3 linked regions of the Neurospora crassa OR74A genome follow. The protein of the gene in region 3 interacts with the protein of the main gene of each other region in a pairwise test. Links are inferred from orthologs where the notes say so. Each region holds a gene or a part of one and is shown on either strand. Other genes may lie near its edges.

Region 1 (6,232 bases), about 960 kb from region 3:
ATACTACCGCCGCATCGGATCGTCGAACCCAACTCGGTTAGGCTTCAGGAACGTGTTCCCTTGGCCAGGGCAGACAAGAATTGACATTGATACCCTCAAAGGGCCGCGGGTGAAGTGAAGGATCGTGAATAGACGAATAGACGAGAAGAAGATGGAAGGAAAGAGGAATGAGGAAAAGCATGAGCCCGGCGACGCCCCTCGCTTAGGTTTTGGATGAGAGCCTTGGAATGCGGAACAATTGACGTGGGATCTCTTTGAGACATCCCTGAAGCAGAAAAGGCTGGTGTCTTGGATTCGTTCAATAACAGGTAACAGGGAAAGACTATCTATTGCTGATGATATGCAGCGCGCACGCGCCCGAATACCTCCCTTATTGACGATTTGTGCCTCCTTGCGTCGAAAATCGGGCGGCAGGGCGTCCCGAAACTCTATTTGGGATAGTCCTTCAGGTGGTAGCTCTTCAACTTGACGAACTGGTCGAAGCCGTACTTGCTCAACGTTTGACCCTTGCCCGAGTTCTTCCAACCAGTCCAGGCCAGATCCTGAGAGATGCGCGTCAGTGAAACGAGGTGGTTGATTGTTGTCGCAGGACACAAAAGTACTTACAGGGCTGGGAAAATCGCAACGGTTCACGAAAACTGTCCCTGCCTCTACTTCCTCGGCGAGTTCGTATCCCTTGGCCGTGTCCTTGGTCCAAATACTGGCAGTGAGGCCAAATTCGCTGTCGTTCATCAACTGAATTGCCTCGGCATCGCTCTTGACCTTCATGACTGGAATGACGGGACCAAAAGTCTCGTCCTTCATAACGGTCATGGTGTGATCCACGCCGGTCAGCAATGTCGGTGCGACAAAGTTACCTTTGTCTGGCAGAATGCTGAATGTCTCATTCTCGGGTGTCGCATTCTTGGCGCCCTTGTCGAGCGCGTCCTTGATGTGTGCCTGGATGGTCTCCTTGGAGCGCGCCGAGATGACTGGGCCGAGATGCGTCCCTTTATCCAACGGATCTCCAAGCTTGTATCCCTTAAGAACGTTCTGGACGGCCGCAATAAACTCGTCGTGAATCTTCTCGTCAACGTACACTCGCTCAATCGAGCAGCAGCTTTGACCCGAGTTGAAAACTGCGCCGTCGACAATCTCTTCGGCAGCCCAGGCAATATCGACATCACCGCGAACATATGCAGGATCCTTGCCACCCAGCTCGAGGCCGACGTTGACGATGCGATCGGACGCGGCCTTCTGGACGGCCAGGCCACCAGCAACCGAGCCGGTAAAGCAAATGTTGGCAATCTTGGGGTTTCGCACAATTGTTTCAATCACTGTCGGCGAACCCGAGTGGAAGTACTGGATGACTCCGTCGGGCAACCCAGCCTCGGAAAACACCTTGGCCACCTGCTCGACAATTGTGGGTGTCTGAGGCGAGGGCTTGAGAATGACCGAATTTCCAGACAATAAAGCGGGAATCAAGGCGTTGACGAGAATAAGATAGGGGTACTGCGCAAAGTTAGAGGTGACGGATGGAGTGTCAAAACAACATGATGGACACCACTTACGTTCCAAGCAAAGATGATGAGAACAGGACCAACAGGCACCTTTCGGATGAACCTCTTGAATCCCTTCTCCTCCTCGCCATCGGTGTCCTTCAGAGCATCGTTGCTGATCTTGAGCAGATACTCTGAGCGCTTGATGGCAGTGGCAACCTCCTTGGCAGTATAAGCAATGGGGCGGCCCATCTGGACGGTGAGTTCCTCTGCAAGTTCATCCTGCTTCTCGGCCAGCAACTTCAAGGCCTTCTTGACGATGATCTGTCTGTCCTCCAACTTGGTAGTGCGCCATCCTTGGAAGGCCTTGAAGGCAGTCTCGGGCAGTTGGACGAGTTCCTCCTCTGAAATGCCATTGCGAGTGATGATGGGTTCCCCCGTGGTGGGAGAGATGGTGGTGATCACCTCGACCGACATTGTTACAAGTAGGCTTATCGGCCAGGTATCGAGTGATAAGGATGGTGAAGTGGGATGCAGTGTTGGTTGTCACAAGGAGGAAGAGCGAGTCAAAGGGAAAGAAAAGACACAGTTCAGTTACTCTAGTACTTAGTACTATAATTCGTTATACCTTCCACAAGAAGAAAAGAGCAAACCGACTTGATTCCCATGACCCAATGACACCATGTCGCCCCTCCCGTCGCCGTCTCACTAACAAACAGGAACACGACATCACACTGCCGCACACAGAGTGGCTCCCGCTCCGTTTCTCGGCGGCAGGCCGGGGGAGCTTTGATAAGATAAAGAGTTGTTGGCAGCGCGGGGTCGGGTCTGCAGTGTATGAACTCCACCTCGGAAGGAACCTAAGGCGGGGACGGGATCAGCCAACCTGAACTTCCATTCCCATTCATACTTTGTTATCTCTTATCGGCCCTGCGTGCACGGTCCCTTCCTGCCTGTGGCCCCCAGTGGAGCCAGAAATTTTGAGAAACAGCAGCAGCCATGTCCGTCCAGCGCTTCCACGCCAAAAGAAGACTTGCGAATCGCGTCGTGATCCTTCTCCAACGCAAACAAACACCCGACTGCCCTAAATCTCCCCATAACGACCCAATCATTCAACCTACGAAACTTTCAGCATACAACAAAAAGTCCACCAATTAGAAACACAAGTCAATCATCCATCGACAATGCCGGAGGACGATGTCAGAAACAAGTTCCTCGATGCTGGCGATAGCGACGACGATGCGGGCCACGGTTCTGACTCGGAGGATGATTTCCAAAAGGGTGGCCGTAACGCCAAGCGCAGAAGAGTGAGCGATGACGAGGACAGCGAAGCCGACGACTTTACCGACGCAGAGGAGGAACACGACCAAGATGATGCTGAAAGCAAGGATGCACCTGCAAAGGACGGCCAGGAAACAACAGATGGAAAGGAAAAGAAGGATGGAAAGAAGGAGAAGGAGAAGAAGTCGGTACTAGCGAGTGACCTTCCGGGCATGACGAAGCCTCTCACAAAGAAGAATCTCATCGTCACGGAGGAGGCCATCAAGAAGTCGGGAGTGGTGTACATCTCCAGGGTACCACCTTTCATGACTCCTGCCAAGTTGCGCTCCCTGCTGGAGCCGTACGGAAAGTTGAATCGCATTTTCCTGGCCCCCGAGGACCCAGTTGCGCGACGCAAGCGCATTCGCAGCGGAGGCAATAAAAAGAAGATGTTTACAGAAGGCTGGATTGAGTTTGTCAAGAAGAAGGGTAGGTCTTCATTCCGTGAGACTCGCTGAGACCCAAGTACAAAGACGCTAACAAGAAAACCCGTTTGTTTGCAGACGCCAAAAAGGCATGCGAACTCCTCAATGCCCGTCCAATCGGAGGCAAGAAGGGATCCTACTACCGCGACGATATCTGGAACTTGCTCTACCTCAAGGGTTTCAAGTGGCACAACCTGACCGAACAAATCGCTGCTGAGAACGCCGAGCGATCCAGCAGAATGCGCGCCGAAATCTCCAAGACAACCAAAGAAAACAAGGAGTTCGTCCGCAACGTGGAGAGGGCCAAGGTGCTGCAGGGCATTCAGGCAAAGAAGGCGTCCAAGGGCAGCAAAGCGGGCGGTGAGGGTGCCGCCCAAGTCACAGAATCTACTATTCCCTCGGCGGCGGCAACGACGACGACGACAACAAACGACGATAAGAGGAGAACATTCAAGCAAATACCCTTGGCCAAGAAGAGGAAGCTCGATGAGACACAGCCCGAGCAAGTACAAAGAGTGCTCAGCAAGATCTTTTAACCTTCTCGTTTGGCCCCCGAACAATAGGTTTGAGACACGGAGCGTTCATGTACCTGTGGGATTTCTGTCGTCAAAGCGACTCCGAGACATTAGAGATGGGTGGTGTTGATTTTCTTTCCCTTAGGCAATTGTATATATTTTTCTGCCTTCAGTCATCTTGATACCCAACCTGATTTCCTTTTGCTATGAGAGCATCTCCATTTCCGTCACTTTGTCATATCCCTACTTATCGACGCTGCACAGAAACCGGCCGGCGTTTGGTTTAATTGGCCCACCATGAGCACATTCCAAATCCCAGCCACGAGGAAGAGTGCCCCTGACGATACGGTCAACACTCGATACAACTTCACCAATTGTCCTGTCGCAAATGCTGTCAAAAGGGGATCATATTTAACGACTCACCCGACTTACGCCCTTCGCATACTTCAAGGACTCATCCAGCGTATGCTTGACGTAGATGAGGAAGGTTGCGAACATTTCTCAAAACGTCGCCTGGACACCATACTCCAATATACGTCCTGGTCAAACTATATCATCGGGCATATCCGCCAAGACCGCTCTTGTCGTTATTTGAGTGAAGATCAGATGCACAAGTTCTTCCATGCATGTATTCAAACGGTCGAGGATGGCTGTACCCTGTGGGAACATATATACCTTTTGAAACCTAGTTGCTGTGCTGGGCGTGGCTCGTCTCAGGATGAGAGCCTGGAAATGACCACATCTTCACCCAGGTGGTTTTCGAGTAGCACATCCTCAGCATCAAATGAAACCATCAGTTCGGCAACTCAAACACCCCTACTTTGGTCAAGAAACCCCTCTCTCGAGCGAGAAGCGACTCCTCGATCTGTTTCCCCTTCTCCTCCGCCCCCAACAAAATCGGACCTTGTGCTTTTCCAGCCAAGGACAGTTAGCATCTTACCAGTAACCAGTGACTGCTTGTCCAGACTCCGCGAAATTTTCAGCTTCTACTGGCAAAGGTTTATCTACGGACCCCTCGCCTCCCTCTACCGGTGGTTCTGGGACACACAAGCCAATCCTATGGGCTCTACCTTCGGATCACGTCTTGGGCTAAGAGCACCAACCTTTTACCCCTTTGCCCCAAACGACAAACAGTCAAACTCGCAGAAGCTATTAGAATGGCCAATCTCGTCAACACCGCCAGCGACCCCATCTGCACAGAGTGTTGCCAACCCCGACCATAACAGCAAGGAGATAAATGAAGATCCGACGCCAGCAGACCGAATGTTCAAGACAAGGGAGGAGGTCAAAGATATGTGGTGGAAGGTGATGGCCAAAATCCTGTTGGCCGAACACCGTGAGCGGAGGGAGAAAGAAGCGGTGGCTTCAACTTGGGAGAGGGCGAGCGCAGCAAGTGTTACGGAGAGTACCTCTAGGTCGTCTTCCGCTATTTCGTTTGTGAGTAGCGAGGGAAGTGATTACTCGCTGCGTCCTGAGGACTGCTTCTCGACCGTTGGCTCAAGGTGCGGTCACTCACAAGATGGGGATCAAGAGTCAGTTCAACCTGCTACCAGCCATTCCTCAACCCCTGAATTCGAGGAATGGTATGCCGAGTGGTTCTCTCATTGGGTGTTGGAAACTTCTTGCAAGCTGAGGTCCCCAGAATCAGAGGATAGATTCTCTTGTTATTCATTTTCTTCGTCAGCAGCGCCGGTAAATGACAGCAATCATCTTGAGGATAGCAACGCCTCCGATGACGACGACGAGATCACGGACATCCGAACCAGACCCTCCACACCTACACCGCTTTCCTCGCCTACTATTAGCCCCCTCCGCGGTCAAGATCGATACCGCTGTCTTTCTCTGTCCCGGTCATTCTCCACTTCTTCACCCAGTCCAACTCCGAACACCAGCATCCCCTCTTCTCCGATTGCTGGGTCGTTGCACTCTCCACGTCGCTACCGCTCACCTAGTCCAATCCTCCGTCGCGGAATCCCCTCTCCCTTGGATATCACCAACTTCCCTCTTCCTCCTCCTCCTTCGACCATATCCCCAGTGTTCCCTACCTCTTCTTCTTCTTCTTCTTCTTCTTCCTCTCGCTCTTCCTCTCCAACTCAATCCCCTCAGCACGAAAATCAATGCGACCCCGAACCTCCCCAATCCCCGCAAGCCACTTCCCCACCGATAATCCGTCCCCGTCCACGTCCCCTCCTAAACGCCAAAACAGAAGACTACCTCTCCAATGCACACCTCCTCCGCTTCCCTGCCACCGTGTCCGCTCGGCTGATGATGACTGCCGAGACGCTGGGGGTCGCGGGCGAAGGCAAGAGGAAGCTGGTTAGTGAGCTGCAGAGGACTCCTAATCCTACGCCGGCGGTGGTTGAGACCAAGTGGAAAAGGAGGGCTAGTGAGGAGGTTAACGGGTTTGATTGGGGGTTTGGAATGGGTGGTGAGAAGGAGGAGGACGAGGAAGAGGAGGAGGGGTATGGGGAGGAGGAGAAGGGGTATGAGACGC
Region 2 (7,024 bases), about 150 kb from region 3:
GGTACGGAGTTTCAACGTTAACTTTGTGCCTTGATGAGAACGTATCAAGTACTTGAAGGCAGTAGAAAACTTGACTCGGCTTGGTCCAACTGATGTGATAAGGTATGGATAAGTATCTCCGATGATGCCTGATTTCCAGAGAAGTTGAAAATCAATGGCCCGAGTCTTTGCGGAATTGGAAATGTGCTAAAAAGCGTGCTGGTGTGCGGAAGACAGACAGAGGAGCATTTACAAGTAAGATGAAGCTGTACCAGTCATCTCGAACATCTGTTGACGGCGATAATTGCTGTCCAGGAAAACATCAGACAGCCTTACCAAGGGGTGTGTGGGTGTGTAAAAGACTGATCGCAACAAACGCGGCATCTTATCGTGAAGGGGCTATATCATGGATGCTTGCATCTCGTCCCGTCGTTCGTTTGACACAAGCCTCCCGTCAGTCGAGGGGAAGCACCTTAACTCTCCATTTCTCCTATTCCCCGCTACGGACCTCAGGCAGATGCCTTGAACGAGATGGCTTTGATCAGATACCTACCTAGACAACAACCAGTCTCTTGCAGAGAGTGTGCAAATAATTCAAGGGACGAAATATCATCATATGGGTTCCCTAGCAAGAGTGTTGATACTTAACTTACTCCGAACTGCTTGATCTGAGGCTTGAGCCTTACATATGCTGTGCCGACATTGCTACTTGTAAATGTCATACAACACCATCATGTTTATCGATTATTTTTTTCCCCCTTGAAGGATAGGTGGTGCGACGGAACGGCCAGTGTAGCTGACACCCAGGGTTGACATTAACCAGCCCGCTGTTGTTGCGAATCACTTGGAAGAAAAGGCATGTTCCCACGAGTGCGGAGAGATAGCTGGGTTACCTCACAGTTTCGCCTACGAAAAAAATGATTTCAGAGGAAAAGAGGACACAAAGAGAAGGTAGAGCATTTTCAAACTTTCAATAAATGAGAGGTAACGAACGACAGAAACAGATCAATCCCGCCTCAGATGGGGATGATCGAAGTATCAAATTTGACACCTTGACTTCTCTTCCAGGTTCTGGCCTGCTCCTTCATCCACAAATGATTGACGAAGGCGAAAACGGAAGCAGCCATCCATCCGAGTGTCCGGGGTGCTGTCCTGTGCTGGAAGGAGCGAGAGACATGCTTCAGAAACTTACGAAATGCTTCGTCCAGCCTTACAGTACCCCGAAATCTCGCCGCAAGCTGCTGGGAAAGGATGGATAGAGACTGGAGCTGGAAATGTATTCTACACGAAGGGAGCATAGTGGCATGGGACCGACCCTTTTGTCAAAATACGTGGTTTAGGTATCATAACAAGTCTAAAACTATCGCAAAATACGTATGTAAACATCCATGATTGGATGACGAACCCCGATATCTCTCCTTTTCCCACACCAACACCAACATTGAAAACCAACTCATCAATCCTCCAACAAGCCAGCGGCCAAAGCCTCCAAATCCTGCAAGTTATCCGGCTCATGATCCATCTCAATGACCTTCCTGCCGCCCTCCATCTTAGCCTTCTTCCTCCTCGGCCTGCCGTCATCGCTATACTCCGTATCCGAGTCATCCTTCTGGAACCACTTCTTAGCCTTCTTCTTAGGCGGTTCCCTATCGTCCTCGCTCTCGTCACCGCTGTCACCGCCCTTGCCAGCAACAGGCAAACTTCTGAGCAAAGCCAAAGGATCCTCCTCCACATCGCTGTGCGCGTCCAGCAGCGCCGGCTGCAGGGGACCCTTCTCCCTCTCGACCTCCTCTCCCCTCTCCCTTGCCTTGGCGCGCTCCCTCTTCTCCTTCCTCCGCTGCTTGGCCAGCAGCTTGTCTTCGACATCCTGCTCCTTGACCTTGGTGGCTTCGCTCTCGACGAACTTCTGCCTGAGCTCCTTGGCGTCGCCCTCCTTCTGGAAGTCCTCCTCGTCTTGCAGCTGGTAGAGCGGGTGGGCGTTTCCTTCGTCGTCAAACACAAGCTTCTGGCCCTTCTCCATGTACTTGAGCAGCTTCTTCTTGGACTTGAGCAGCTTCTCGCGACGGTGCGAGTCGATGACCAACTCGGCGTTCTTGCCCAGCTTGACCACCTTGGCCGTGCCGTCGGGGTTGGTGCCGGACTTGGCATTGCCGGCGGCGTCGTCGAGGGCGGCATCGTCGTCCAGCACGCGCTTGACCGAGAGGAAGTCGTCTTCCTCGTTGTCTTCTGCCTGATCTTCTCCGAGAAGCTTGCGGTAATGCGTCGACAAGACGTCCTGGTTTTGACGCTCGGCCATCTTGTCGTACTTTGTCCTGACCTCCTTCTTCTTCTTGCGGATCTCGCCGTCCGAGCCTTCGGTGTCGGACCCGCTGGACATGGCGGCGCGCGAGGCATTCTTGAGCTTCTTGACGTCCTCGCCCTTCTGGTATCTGATCTGTGGAGTACCTGGGAGACCCAGGCTGGAAGCAAAACCGTCGAGGTCGAGTTTGTCGAACTTGAACACCTCCTTATCCTTTTGCAGGTAAATCGAACGGACGTACGAGACGAAAGCCTTCTGTCCGAGGTATTTGAGATCGGGTGACTGGAAACACTGTGACTGTAGTTCGTTCTTGATGCTCTTCTTCTTGTTTTCTTTGACGTTCACTTTCTGGACGGTCACCTTCTTGTGCTCGAGACGCTTAAGGAAACCCTCTTCTTCGCTGGGGTCGAGGAACAAGACGGCGCGGCCCTTGCTCTCGTAACGCGCCGTTCTGCCGACGCGATGGATGTAGGTGTCGGCATCTTCAGGGCAATCGACCTGGATGACCCAGTCAACGGCGGGGAAATCGACACCTCTGGCCACGACATCGGTGGCGAAGAGGCAGGAGTATTTCGCGGACGTGAACCGGTTCGTGATCTCGAGACGTGCTATTTGTTTTTGGCGACCATGCAAATGTAGTAGTGGAATACCGGGCTGCATCCGCTTAAAACTTTCGTAGACGAATCTGACCTGCTTGCCGGAGGACATAAACACAATAATCTTGCTCTTGAGGTTCGTTCGTAGGAAGCCCCATAGCGTGTCGAGCTTCTCAGGGAGAGGTGTGACGATGTAATGCTGTTGGAGGCCGACGGGGGTCGCCGATGCTGCGGCTTCGTGAACAGAGACGTATTCGGGGTCCTTCAAGCTCAACCGGGCAAGGTCCGAGACACGCTTGCTTTGTGTGGCGCTAAACAGCAGGGTCTGCCTGCTCTTGGGAAGATGCTCAACAAGAGCGTCAACGGCCTGTTGGAAACCCATGTCCATGATGCGGTCGGCCTCATCAAGCACGAGCATCTGGAGGTTGTCGACATCGAAGCCGGCCGTTTGGTCGAGATGCTGCAGCATACGGCCAGGTGTGCAGACGAGGATATTCATGCGCCCAAGACGCTCCGCCTCCTCCTTCAAGCTCTTTCCACCAATGACCAAGCCTGCCGAAAAGCTGTGGTTGCGACCAATCTTCCTGAGAACTTCAAATATTTGGACGGCCAATTCACGGGTCGGGCTGATAATGAGGGCACCGAGACCGTCGTACTCAGTCCATCGTGCACGGTATAGCTTCTCGAGGACGGGAACAAGGAAGGCGAGGGTCTTGCCGCTACCTGTCCTAGCAGCGCCGAGGATATCTTGCCCTTTGAGCGCGAGAGGGATGGCGGCGCGTTGGACATCGGTTAGGACCTCGAAATGGGATGCGCGTAGTCCAGAGGCGGTAGGTTCGCAAAGGGGAAGGTCCGAGAACTTGTTGAGTTCGGTGGATTTGGGGTCCTAGTAGATTGAGACACAATATTTAGAAGCGTGTGCGGTTGTATGGTGAGAAACGGGGGTTCAGTACTAGGACTTACAAGTTCGTCGATTCTCTTCTGAAGCGCCTCGAGGTTCTCCAACTCTCTTTTCCTCTTCAACGTCTTGTGTTCGGCCTTGTTGGCTTTGGACCTCTCCTTCTCGGCTTTGCCCTTGCCACCGCGGCCTTTGGGGCCTCCTGGAGCCATTGTGTTTGTATCGTCTGAACGTGCTGGAAATTGGGCGTGGTGGGTTCGACGAAGTTCCAAAGGTCGGGTCTGCTAGTCGAGCGAATCCAATTGCCTGCGGGTCGTCGCTGGTGGCCTTTCAGTTCGATGCGAATGGGAAAACTTTTGGCGGAGAGCAATTCTGCCAGCTCGACCCACCTCATCCACTGTAAGCGAGGGGATCTGCAGCAGGGGTCTCGGACTCGCGGCCAGCTCAGACCAGGGTTAGGGTCATACGAGCAGACAGACGACCATCGAGTTGTCAGCCCCCAGTGACATTCTCAAGTCGTTGCTATGGTTCATGATGGGTTGGATGGGCAGTTGTACGGGGCTGAAGTAGAAAATTCACAGTAGCTTTTGCATCGAACCAAATTCGAATTGTAGTGGTTTTATCTCAGCGCCCACAACTTCAGCAATCTACATGTTTCACTTAGAACAGCAACATTCGAACATCAACACCGTGCCTGAGCAATGAAAAGAGCCAAACTATCATGAAAGCATAATGTATTGAACCACGAAAAAAATGAGCTTGAAGACGGGTATCGCTCGCTCACATGATTCCTTCGTAGGTAGACACCCGCAATAAAACCAACCCACTAGACCCACCCATATGTACGTTTCCCAAAGTTGAAAGCGATAAAAAAAAAAAAAAGGACCAAAACGCCTTGCCCCATTCCCAATTTCCTTGCTTTTCCCTTCAATACGTATTCGGTAGCTCAAGATCCGTCGCCCAGATACCCATTATCAATCCTGTTATTCCTCGCCCTCGTACTCTAATTCCTCCCCAAACAGTTTCAGGCGGTAAATGCATGTATGATCCAGGGCTCCATGGTTCGTCTTGGCTCTGACGACCACCTTGTACGTCGCCGCATCCAGATCGAGCAACTCCTCCGACAGCTTGTGGACAAACATGCCGTGGCTACCGCTGGTCTTGGCATAGTCGTACTCCAGCTCGCCGATCTTGACGTATTTTCTGTTGATGAGGGACAGCGATTTTTTGTTGTTTGCGTCGACCATCTTCATGTCAGCTTCGCGCTCGCCAGGGTACAACTCGTCCATCCAAGCCAGGAGTCGCTTGTTGTCGTCCGCGTCCGGATAGTATCCCCAAATCTCAATGTCTTTGGGCATGGACCCAGGGTCATTCGTCGCGTTCGGATGGACGTGCTCAACGACGATGGCTTGGGGAATGACATGTTTGGCCATCTCCACGGCGAGCTCGGCCCCCCTGCTGGCTGAGATGCCAGCGCACCAGCACTGGCCAACGTCGTTCCAGGCAGAGAGCGCCAGCATGTATTCTGCTTCCAGGGTGACCTTATCCTTGCTCGAAATGGGCTTCGGCTTGCCGAGCAGTTTGCTGAGGTGCTTGTTGCCTGGCAGTGCTTGCGACTCAAGTCGGTATACGGGGGATGATTCCGACAAGACGATACCAGCTTCATTGCCCAGGCCGAAATGATTGACTTGAGTTTCAACGTAGTCGTGGTAGTTGCGCATGATGCCGTCCTTAGCGGCTGCTTCAAGTTGCGCCCGAGGAATCTCCTTCTTGACAATATTCCTAACCAAGGTGGTGATTTCGGACTTGGAAAGACTGCCTTCGGAGTTGGAGATGGCCGCCTTGACCGTAGTGTCGATGAGTGTCTCAAGCCCTTTCTTGACGGAATCCAATTGACCATCAATCTCCTCCTTGTGTTCTGCAATCCTTTTCTTCAAGAGGCCCACAAACTCATCTCGGCTGATGGCTGCGTCACGCGTGACCCCATCGCCTTTGTCGCCTGGTAGATGCTCCTTGACAACCTGGGCAACCTTTTCCCCGTTCTTGGTTACCCAACGTTCCCAAGATTTGGAAACAGTGCCTTCAGCAATCTGCAAGATATGCTCATCCGATGGGCCCTTCTCGAAAAGTCCGGCTTTGATGAGGCGCGGCCGTAGTGCGTCCCAATGCTCTTCGGAAATGTCACCAGTGCCGTCAAGCGTGAGAACCGAGCTGTCCTTGAGCATCTTATCCAGAAGAGCATGCCAAAAATCGTCCTGAATGATGAGATCGCCGTTTGGACCACGTTTAACGTGCACCATCCGGGGAAGAAGAGTTTGGATGTTTTTGACAGCACTCTCCGTAGAAGAAGATTGTTCAAGGATAAAGTCCTTCAAGTCATTAAACTGATCATCCGTTAGCTGCGGATGACTGGGGATGAACTGCCCGACGTTGCTCCTCCAGTGCTTCCAGCCATACCATCGGATGCTGGTATTCGCATCCGGCGAACCATAAGAAGACGCGGTTAAGACTATCAGACCGATGAGGAGCACTGGTACAAGGAATGTGAACAGCTTCCACACGCCCCATGTCGAACGGCGAATCAAACTCAGTAATCGTTGCACGAAGGTAGGAGGAGCAGTAGTATACGGAGGAGGCGGTGTTTCCACGTTGGTGGTATTTGACTGTTCGGCTCGCGGCCTGGATGTTTGGTTTGGTCTTGCAGCTGTGGGCTTGGACACCTTGCCAAAGGACGGATACTGTTTGTCAGACATGGATTTCGCCTCTGTGTCGAACAAGTCTTGGTGTTGATCGACTTGATGGGAAGGAGGTTGGAGAGAATTGGAGAGGGTTGACGCTGGTCGCCTTGCGATTCTGGGTGGTTCTGGAGGCTCTGGGGTATATCGGGCTAATCGCTTTTGTTGAGCCATTCGCACCTCTTCTTCGAGCACTTCCCTCATCTTTTCCGAGTCCGTGTAGACATCGCTTTCCTCCACGTAGCTGTTGCCGGTATCGGGTACCACAAGTTCCCTTGTCCTGGAAGTAGGTGGTGTTGAAAGCAGTTGTTTGGAAGGTGGAGGGGGTGGTCGCATAGCCTGCCTCTTTGCTTCCTCCAGGCTTGCCATCTCTGCTTCGCTTGCCTCTCGAGCTTGGCGTTGCTCTTCCTTTTTACGCGCAGCCTCTGCTGCGTGCTTCTGTTCGGCTTGACGCCGCGCATCTTCAGAACGCTCACGGTTTAGCCGAGCATTTCGTTCGGCACGTTCCAGCTCGGCC
Region 3 (7,028 bases):
AATACGGTCGACACTTGTCTGATGATGTTTTATCTTCTCCTCAAATCTCGTCCCTTCCGCAACCCGACATCAGACACTCGGCACTGGAGATGCCAGTGACGAGCAATCCGCCACCTTGAACAACTCCGTTGACAATTGCGGCACCATATCCGCCCATTGCAGCGCTCTGCGCAATGGCAAAGGGACTGCCAGCGACAACATTGCCGATTACGCCCTGAGCTATGGCTGCAGCAGAGCCTGCTTTGTATCAGCACTTGATCTCCGACCACAACGGCTTAGATTGCGCTTCGTATGTAGGTGACACTGACCAGCAACAGGCCCCGCAGCACCGAATCCCAATACGGCGAGAATGGGTGCGGTAACTATCGCGGGTGCAGCGACAGCGGCTAGCCCAGCAACGACAGGAATCAAAGGAATCTTGAGGGCATGGTCAGCTCTGGCAGAAGCAGGGAAGGGAGTAAAAAGGCAGCAGTGTACCATCTTGAGAAGGGTTTTGTGCAGTGTTGAGTACGTTAAGCTTTTCTTTCGGTTTTTCTGGAATAGAGGCAGGATAAACCGGCGACTTTGGGATGATTCAAGTTGCCGTTGTTCATCTTAGGACCTGGATACTTGAGTCTTGCGCGGGAATTTATAGAGAGTCAGTTCTGTGACACCACTTGGTGTCTTCCTACATAATTGTTGTACATATGATGCAGCTAAAGTCAATCTTCGTTTTCACGAACAAAATCGTTTACATACAGACGGAAACATGAGAGGCCTGCCGAAACGTAGAGAAAGGTTACTGGTGTCGCTGTTCGTAGGCAAACGCTGTACGCATGTTGAGGCCTGGGTATAAGTTGTCGATGTGTCGGCCGCGTGATGGCAACCTGGAAGAATGCTTGGTGTTTCGATTGGTGACGATGTTGGTACCTGCAGCGCAAACGCGAGATTCAACCGTCCTCTGCCGGCTCCTGCTCCCGGGAGTACCTACTTAAAGTAACTGTGGTTGCGAGCCAAAGTAAAACCCTTTGTCAAGTACCGAGCATGACCCACCACAAGCAAAGCTTCGTGGCTTTGTATAGGGCACTGTGTGATCAGCGATCGCGAGCAACCTGGCCCACGGGTTTTGGTTACCCTGCTCACCGTATCGGGTGTGTGCATAGTGCAGTAGTAATGAGTCTCGGGTGTGTAGCCGCTCACGGGAAGTCAGCCAGGGGCAAGCGACGCTGGCACGGCCGGGAATGTGGTTGACAGAGGTCTCGAATGTCGTTGATGGCTTCGAGTCAATGTCGCGTCCCAAACAGCTGGGCAGGATGAAGAATACAAACACCCAAATCCGGACTCTGTGGTTCACTCTGTTGATGAAGAAAGGCGTGCTCGGTGTCTCACGTGATGCAGGCATTGTTGATGCTTCTCGCTTGTGAAAATGCCAAGAACATCATCGACATCTGATTTAGGGTTTTCCGGGGTTGTGTTGGCAAGGCATGCGGAGTCGATGACACCCGGAGAGGCATTCCGGAGCTCAGTCCTAGGGACATTCGCCTCGACTCCCGCCTTGGTAACCCCACCTGACCATCACCAAGGATCTCTTTCCTGGTTGAGCGCAAACAAAGAACAGCTTGGACTTGGTCCGGAAGTTGTGTAATGATGATTGCCCCTGAAGTGAGGAACGAATAGTGGTGGGCCATTGATTCTCGGATGGGGACCAAAGAACAATTATAAGTCTTGTTCGGACGCCCTTCATCTTTTGGACTCGCCATCCAACCCTCATTAACCATCCGGTTCATATCTCAGGATCCCACGTCCCAGACACATCCTTAACAACCCATCCGATAACGCGGCACTGTCGACCAGGTTCTTCCAACTTATACAAACCATGAATCTGGAGAGCTACTCACGACTCATTTCCTCCGACCAAGACGAAGACGTCAAGGCAGAGAATAGGGCTTGCACAACGCTATTGTCGCTCTTGATGCTTGTTGGGATCCTTACGTTGGGCGCAACGATGTGGCATGGGAACAGTTAAAGAACTGAAACCTGCGTAACATCTTCGGTAGGTAGTCAATCCGCGAACACTGTCAATTCATGCGATATCAGTCGTCCTAACGAGTGGAAGGTCCAGATTCGATGACCAGCGACAGCGACAGCGGACAGGACTGGATGGCCGATCGGTGGGTGGGTGACGTCGAATGGGAGTTCTCTGGTCATAAGTTGAAGGACGGCCGATGAGGCATGCGATGACAGGATTATACGTTGGATTCCGAATGACGGACAAGTTGATACCCGAATTTGTTGGATTGGATGGTCGAGGACAATCATCGACGGGATTGCTGGAGGACGATGGCGTTTTTGGAGTTTTTCGAGGTTGAACAGCCCTGCGCTGACAGCGTCAGTGGACTTTGGCTTTTGACGGAGTTTTTAGCGGGCTCCATTTGCTGCATGCCAGGGCACCAATGCGGGGAAGTGGATTGATCCATAGCACAGGACTTGGCGTTTTAGGTGGGGCACCTTGACATTAGCATGTGCAGACCGCCTTTGGCAGAATCAACAACGCTCCACTAAAATTTTCTCGGACTTTGCGTGCTGTGCACATGTCGGGTCGAATCTGCGAGTTTCCTTGCTGCCGTCGAATCCTCGATTTTGGATCGCATCAGTCACCATCTCCACATCCACCATGCCCAAAGATAACAAGCCTAAAAAGCGCGATGGCGCTCCTGCGATTACCGATGCTCGCTTTGCCAACTTCGAGACCGACCCGCGATTCCAGCTGCCCTCAAAAAAGAACCTAAAGACCAAGCTCGACAAGCGTTTCTCCAAGGTTCTCAAAGATGCAGAGTTCACCGCCGTCGCAAAGGTCGACAGGTACGGCCGCAAGCTAAAGACCGACACCAAGAAGAAGGCTTTGGAACGGCTGTACGAGGATGAGAGCGAGGACGCCACAGACAACGAGGCCAAAGAGAAGGCCAGCAAGGGAAAGAAGGACGAAGCGGAAGACGAGAGCGACTTCGAGGTCGAGGACGACGACATTGTTCAGCGCGAACTCGAGGCTGCCAACTCATACGACCCTGCCCGTGGCGGCGGTTTTTCTTCATCCGATGACGACTCCGACTCCGACTCCTCAGATTCCGAAGACGAAAAGCCAGAGGTGGAAGACGAGGCTGATGCGGAAACACGACCCGGTATCCGCTTGCGCAAGGATAAGGAGGCTGTTGAGGAAGGCGAGATCACAAACAGAGTTGCCATCGTCAACATTGACTGGGACCATATCAAGTCGATCGATCTATTCGCCCTCTTCTCGAGCTTCGTGCCCCCAGGTGGTCGCATCGAGAAGGTATCTGTCTACCCTAGCGAGTTCGGCAAGCAGAGGATGCAAAGAGAAGAGCTGGAGGGTCCTCCCCAGGAGATCTTCAAGAAGAAGAGTGACTCCGATTCCGACAGTGACTCGGAGGACTCTGATTCGGACGAGGCCATCAAGAAGGAGCTTCTTGAGGAAGGAGACGACCAGGACTTTGACAGTGACGCCCTTCGCACTTATCAGCTCGACAGGTTACGTTACTACTACGCCGTTATGGTTTGCTCCGACAAGAACACAGCATACAAGATCTACGAGGCGACGGATGGCAACGAGTATCTTTCTTCTTCCAACTTCCTCGACTTGCGATTTGTCCCCGACGATGTCACGTTCGACGACGAACCCAGAGACGAGTGCGACAGCGTCCCTGCGGGGTACAAGCCGGTGGAGTTCGTGACCGATGCTCTCCAGCATTCCAAGGTCAAACTCACCTGGGATACGAACCCCGAAGATTACTCAAGAAAAGAAGCTCTCAAGAAGGCCTTCACCGGTAGCCGCAACGATATCGCCGAGAACGACTTGCGCGCTTACCTTGCGAGCGACAGCTCAGACGACGAGGAGGACGAGGAGGAGAAGGAGCAGTTCGAGGCCGAGGGGGCCGCTGCCGAGGAAGCAGAAGAGGAAAAGACACTGTCCAAGAAGGAGCTTGCCAGGCGCAAGATGCGCGCTGCTCTTGGTCTTGCTGACGAGCCCGTGGTAAAGTCCAAGAAGGATACTCCGGTGGGCGAGATGCAAATCACCTTCACGCCAGCACTATCCGCCAACGACAAGAAGAAGGGTGACGAAGATAGGGAGGAGACGACCATCGAGAAGTACAAGCGCAAGGAGCGCGAGAGAAAGGAGAGGAAGCGGCAGGAGATGCTTGCTAGGAGGGAAGGTCGCGATCCCAACGCCGCTCCTCAGCAGGAGGAAGAGCAAGGCGACCAAGGCGAAGATCTCGGTTTCGACGATCCATTCTTCACTGCTGAGCCTGTGGTGCCTTCCAAGACGGCGATTCGCAAAGAGGAGAGGCTCAAGAAGAAGGCTGAGAGGGAAGCTGAGGAGGCTGCCAACGCCGCCGAGAAGGCACAGCTGGAGCTGCTTATGGCTGATGAAAACGGTGACAGTGGCCGTCTCGATCACTTCGACATGAAGCAGATCGCCAAGGTCGAGAAGGTCAAGGGCAAGAAGAAGGGCAAGAAGGGCAAGAAGGGCGTGGAGGGCAACGATGGTCTCCAGGAAGAGTTCGCCATGGACGTCGAGGATCCTCGTTTCAAGGCCGTTTTCGAGAGCCACGAGTTCGCTATTGATCCCTCTAATCCTAAGTTCACGGCTACTCAGGGTATGAAGAAGCTTCTTGAGGAGGGCAGAAAGAAGCGCAAGGATGGACCCAGTGTTACGGAGAAGAGTGAGAAGAGCGCCAAGAAGGTCAAGACTGACGACGCGGATATCGATGGTCTGATCAACTCTGTCAAGAGGAAGGCGAAGGCGAAGGCGAAGAAATGATTGCATCACGGGTAACAGCATATTAATGGCAAGTTTTTGATTTCTGTTGGTTCACATCCATCTGTCGTTCCTCCACTGTCCAGTCTTGTAAATGGTCCTTGGGTCAATGTGGTTTAAATTCAGGTCATGTAGGGTTGCTCCCTTTGTCTTTAATGATCGTCCCCTTTTGTGGATGAGGACAGAACCACGTACAGCTACCTCGCAACTCTTTTCCACTTCACAATGGCGGCCATAATATGTGGTACTCGAGGTCCATCAGTTCCTCATGGCCATGTAAGTTGGAGCTTTTGTTGTCGAGATGTTTGCCTTTACCTTTCTTAATCTCTCTCCCCGAGGAAATAACTCTGTGTGTCTGGCAAAACCCCTGGAAAGACACTGGGCCTCCGACATTCTTCCCTCGACAATTGTGTTCGTCTTATCCATAGCTACCTCTTTTCATCGTCCTTCGAGGTTTGCAAGCGATTCTCAACCTCCGGCCAGTCGTCAAGGTTCCTCCGTCAGATCCACAACCGGAACCTCTTCCCCTCCCATCTCCACCGGCAGCCACTCCTCCACATCATCCCTCGTTCTCTTCTTGCCTGTAGACTCCTTTTGCTGGGCCACAGTAGCCACACTCTTTTCTTCGACTTGCTCGGTCTTGACGACTTTCGTTGGCTTGGAAGAAGCCACTTTGCGTTCGCTCTGTCCCTCACTGCCATCATCCTGTGTCTCTTCGATCTTTTGGTCCACTGCGGCACCATCGTTGCAGTCAGCGTCAGGCATATCGATATCCTCCGTCGTAATTGTCGTTGTTTTGTTCTTTGGTGTCTGTTTCTTCTTCTCGCTGGTGATGATACCGCTTTCGTCTCGCTGCCTGCTGTGTCTAGCCTCCACCACGGACTCCTCTCCTTTGCCATTCGATACCATGTCGCCAACAACAAGATGACCCAACTTTTCCAAATCCTCAACAACAATATCCGGCTGCTGCTCGCCCGCCGTCTTGTCTTCACACCTGGTAACCCAGCAAGCCGTTGCTCCAATAGCCCTTGCCAGGCCAAGGTATTGCTTTGAGCAGCAGGCAAAGAGAACCTCGTCTTTTCGCATTTCCGGGGAATCGGCCGCCACTGTACCTACTTTCACGTCCGTTCCCTTGCTGGCATTACCTTCACCGCCGTCCGAATTTGCCTCCTTGGCGATGGCGATCTGAGGCGTGATAAATCCAGGCAAAATGTCACCTTTCCAAACCCTCGCAACCGCCTCCCCCTCAATACCAGAAGCATAAATCCCACCCACCACCACCACAGCCGCTGTCGCTCCACCTACTGCTGCCGCCTGTCTTCCTTGACCCTGATATCCCCTAGCCCCTTTACCAGCAGCCGTGACACCCATGCGTCTCATCAGTTCTTGGATAATCTTTACGCCCGGTGCCGGCGTTGCAGGCTGCTGCTGCTGCTGCTGCTTCTGCTGCTTCTTCTTTTTGCTCTTCTTCCCATCTTTGTCTCCGTCTGTGCTTGAGGTCTGCTCAGGTGAAGAAGAAGAAGAAGATTCAAAGCCATCCTGCGCGATGAGAATAACCACGTTAACGTCCTGCTGCTTCATCTGCTTGGCGAAGGGCTCTAGGTCCGGGTAAATGTCAAATTCGGAGAGGAATTCGTGGGTGTAGTGGAGGTAGGCCTGTGTCCAGAGGGCGATTGCGTGTTGGTAGTCGTATTGTTGTTCCTCTTGTGTGGGTGTGCTTGGGTCCATGACTTTGGCTTTGCCTTTACCTTTATCTTTGGAGCTTGATTTGGTGGTGTCTGAGTTGGCTGCTTCTGCTGCAGCAGCAGAAGAGGAGTCCGGCTTGCTGGGAGTCTTGAAAGCACCAAGCTGATCAAGGGCTTCCCCGAGCGTAGCATTATGAGCAAAAGCGTTGAGAATTGCGGTCTCACTTGGTTGTGGGGCGTTTGGACCGAGAATGGCTGCGAAACAGTTCTGGATTGTGCGAATGATGATGCGGCGGCCATCGATAACAGTGTCGTGGTGGAGAATGATGATCTTTGGCTTGGAGATTGTGGTACCCTGGGTGTCTGCGGAAAATGAGGCGGGAATGACGGGTGTGGTGGGCTGTCTCGACTTGATAATGGAAGGCAAGTGAGCGGTAGGACTTGGTGTGGCCTGTAGGCTGCTCGGCGGGGTGGTTGCTGAGGCAGTGCTGGGTGATGTGCTATCTGTATCTTTGCTTGGTGTGACGAGT

Evidence for each region.
Region 1: the proteins of NCU04485 (region 3) and NCU08668 interact in binary tests that used the Saccharomyces cerevisiae proteins (3 or more experiments, as listed by UniProt). The link is inferred for Neurospora crassa OR74A from reciprocal best matches to the Saccharomyces cerevisiae genes ESF1 and ESF2.
Region 2: the proteins of NCU04485 (region 3) and NCU04439 interact in binary tests that used the Saccharomyces cerevisiae proteins (3 or more experiments, as listed by UniProt). The link is inferred for Neurospora crassa OR74A from reciprocal best matches to the Saccharomyces cerevisiae genes ESF1 and HCA4.

Annotation. Positions count from the first base shown.
Region 1 is NC_026504.1:4,158,825-4,165,056, forward strand, and holds NCU08668 (pre-rRNA-processing protein esf-2), read left to right. Parts: upstream 1-2,488; 5' UTR 2,489-2,662; coding exon 2,663-3,227; intron 3,228-3,301; coding exon 3,302-3,759; 3' UTR 3,760-3,944; downstream 3,945-6,232. Other genes in the region: NCU08669 (betaine aldehyde dehydrogenase 2), read right to left, coding at 429-542, 607-1,491, 1,551-1,955; NCU08667 (hypothetical protein), read left to right, coding at 5,002-6,232. UniProt on the Saccharomyces cerevisiae protein: Involved in the small subunit (SSU) processome assembly and function, and in the 18S rRNA synthesis. Required for the early cleavages at sites A0, A1 and A2. Stimulates DBP8 RNA helicase ATPase activity.
Region 2 is NC_026504.1:3,353,083-3,360,106, reverse strand, and holds NCU04439 (ATP-dependent RNA helicase dbp-4), read right to left. Parts: upstream 4,106-7,024; 5' UTR 3,985-4,105; coding exon 3,838-3,984; intron 3,761-3,837; coding exon 1,436-3,760; 3' UTR 1,301-1,435; downstream 1-1,300. Other genes in the region: NCU04440 (hypothetical protein), read right to left, coding at 4,756-7,024. UniProt on the Saccharomyces cerevisiae protein: ATP-dependent RNA helicase required for ribosome biogenesis. Involved in the release of U14 snoRNA in pre-ribosomal complexes. Required for pre-rRNA cleavage at site A2.
Region 3 is NC_026504.1:3,202,905-3,209,932, forward strand, and holds NCU04485 (pre-rRNA processing protein Esf1), read left to right. Parts: upstream 1-2,585; 5' UTR 2,586-2,653; coding exon 2,654-4,816; 3' UTR 4,817-5,062; downstream 5,063-7,028. Other genes in the region: NCU04486 (hypothetical protein), read right to left, coding at 41-237, 309-417, 739-750; NCU04484 (hypothetical protein), read right to left, coding at 5,300-7,028. UniProt on the Saccharomyces cerevisiae protein: Involved in the 18S rRNA synthesis. Required for the early cleavages at sites A0, A1 and A2.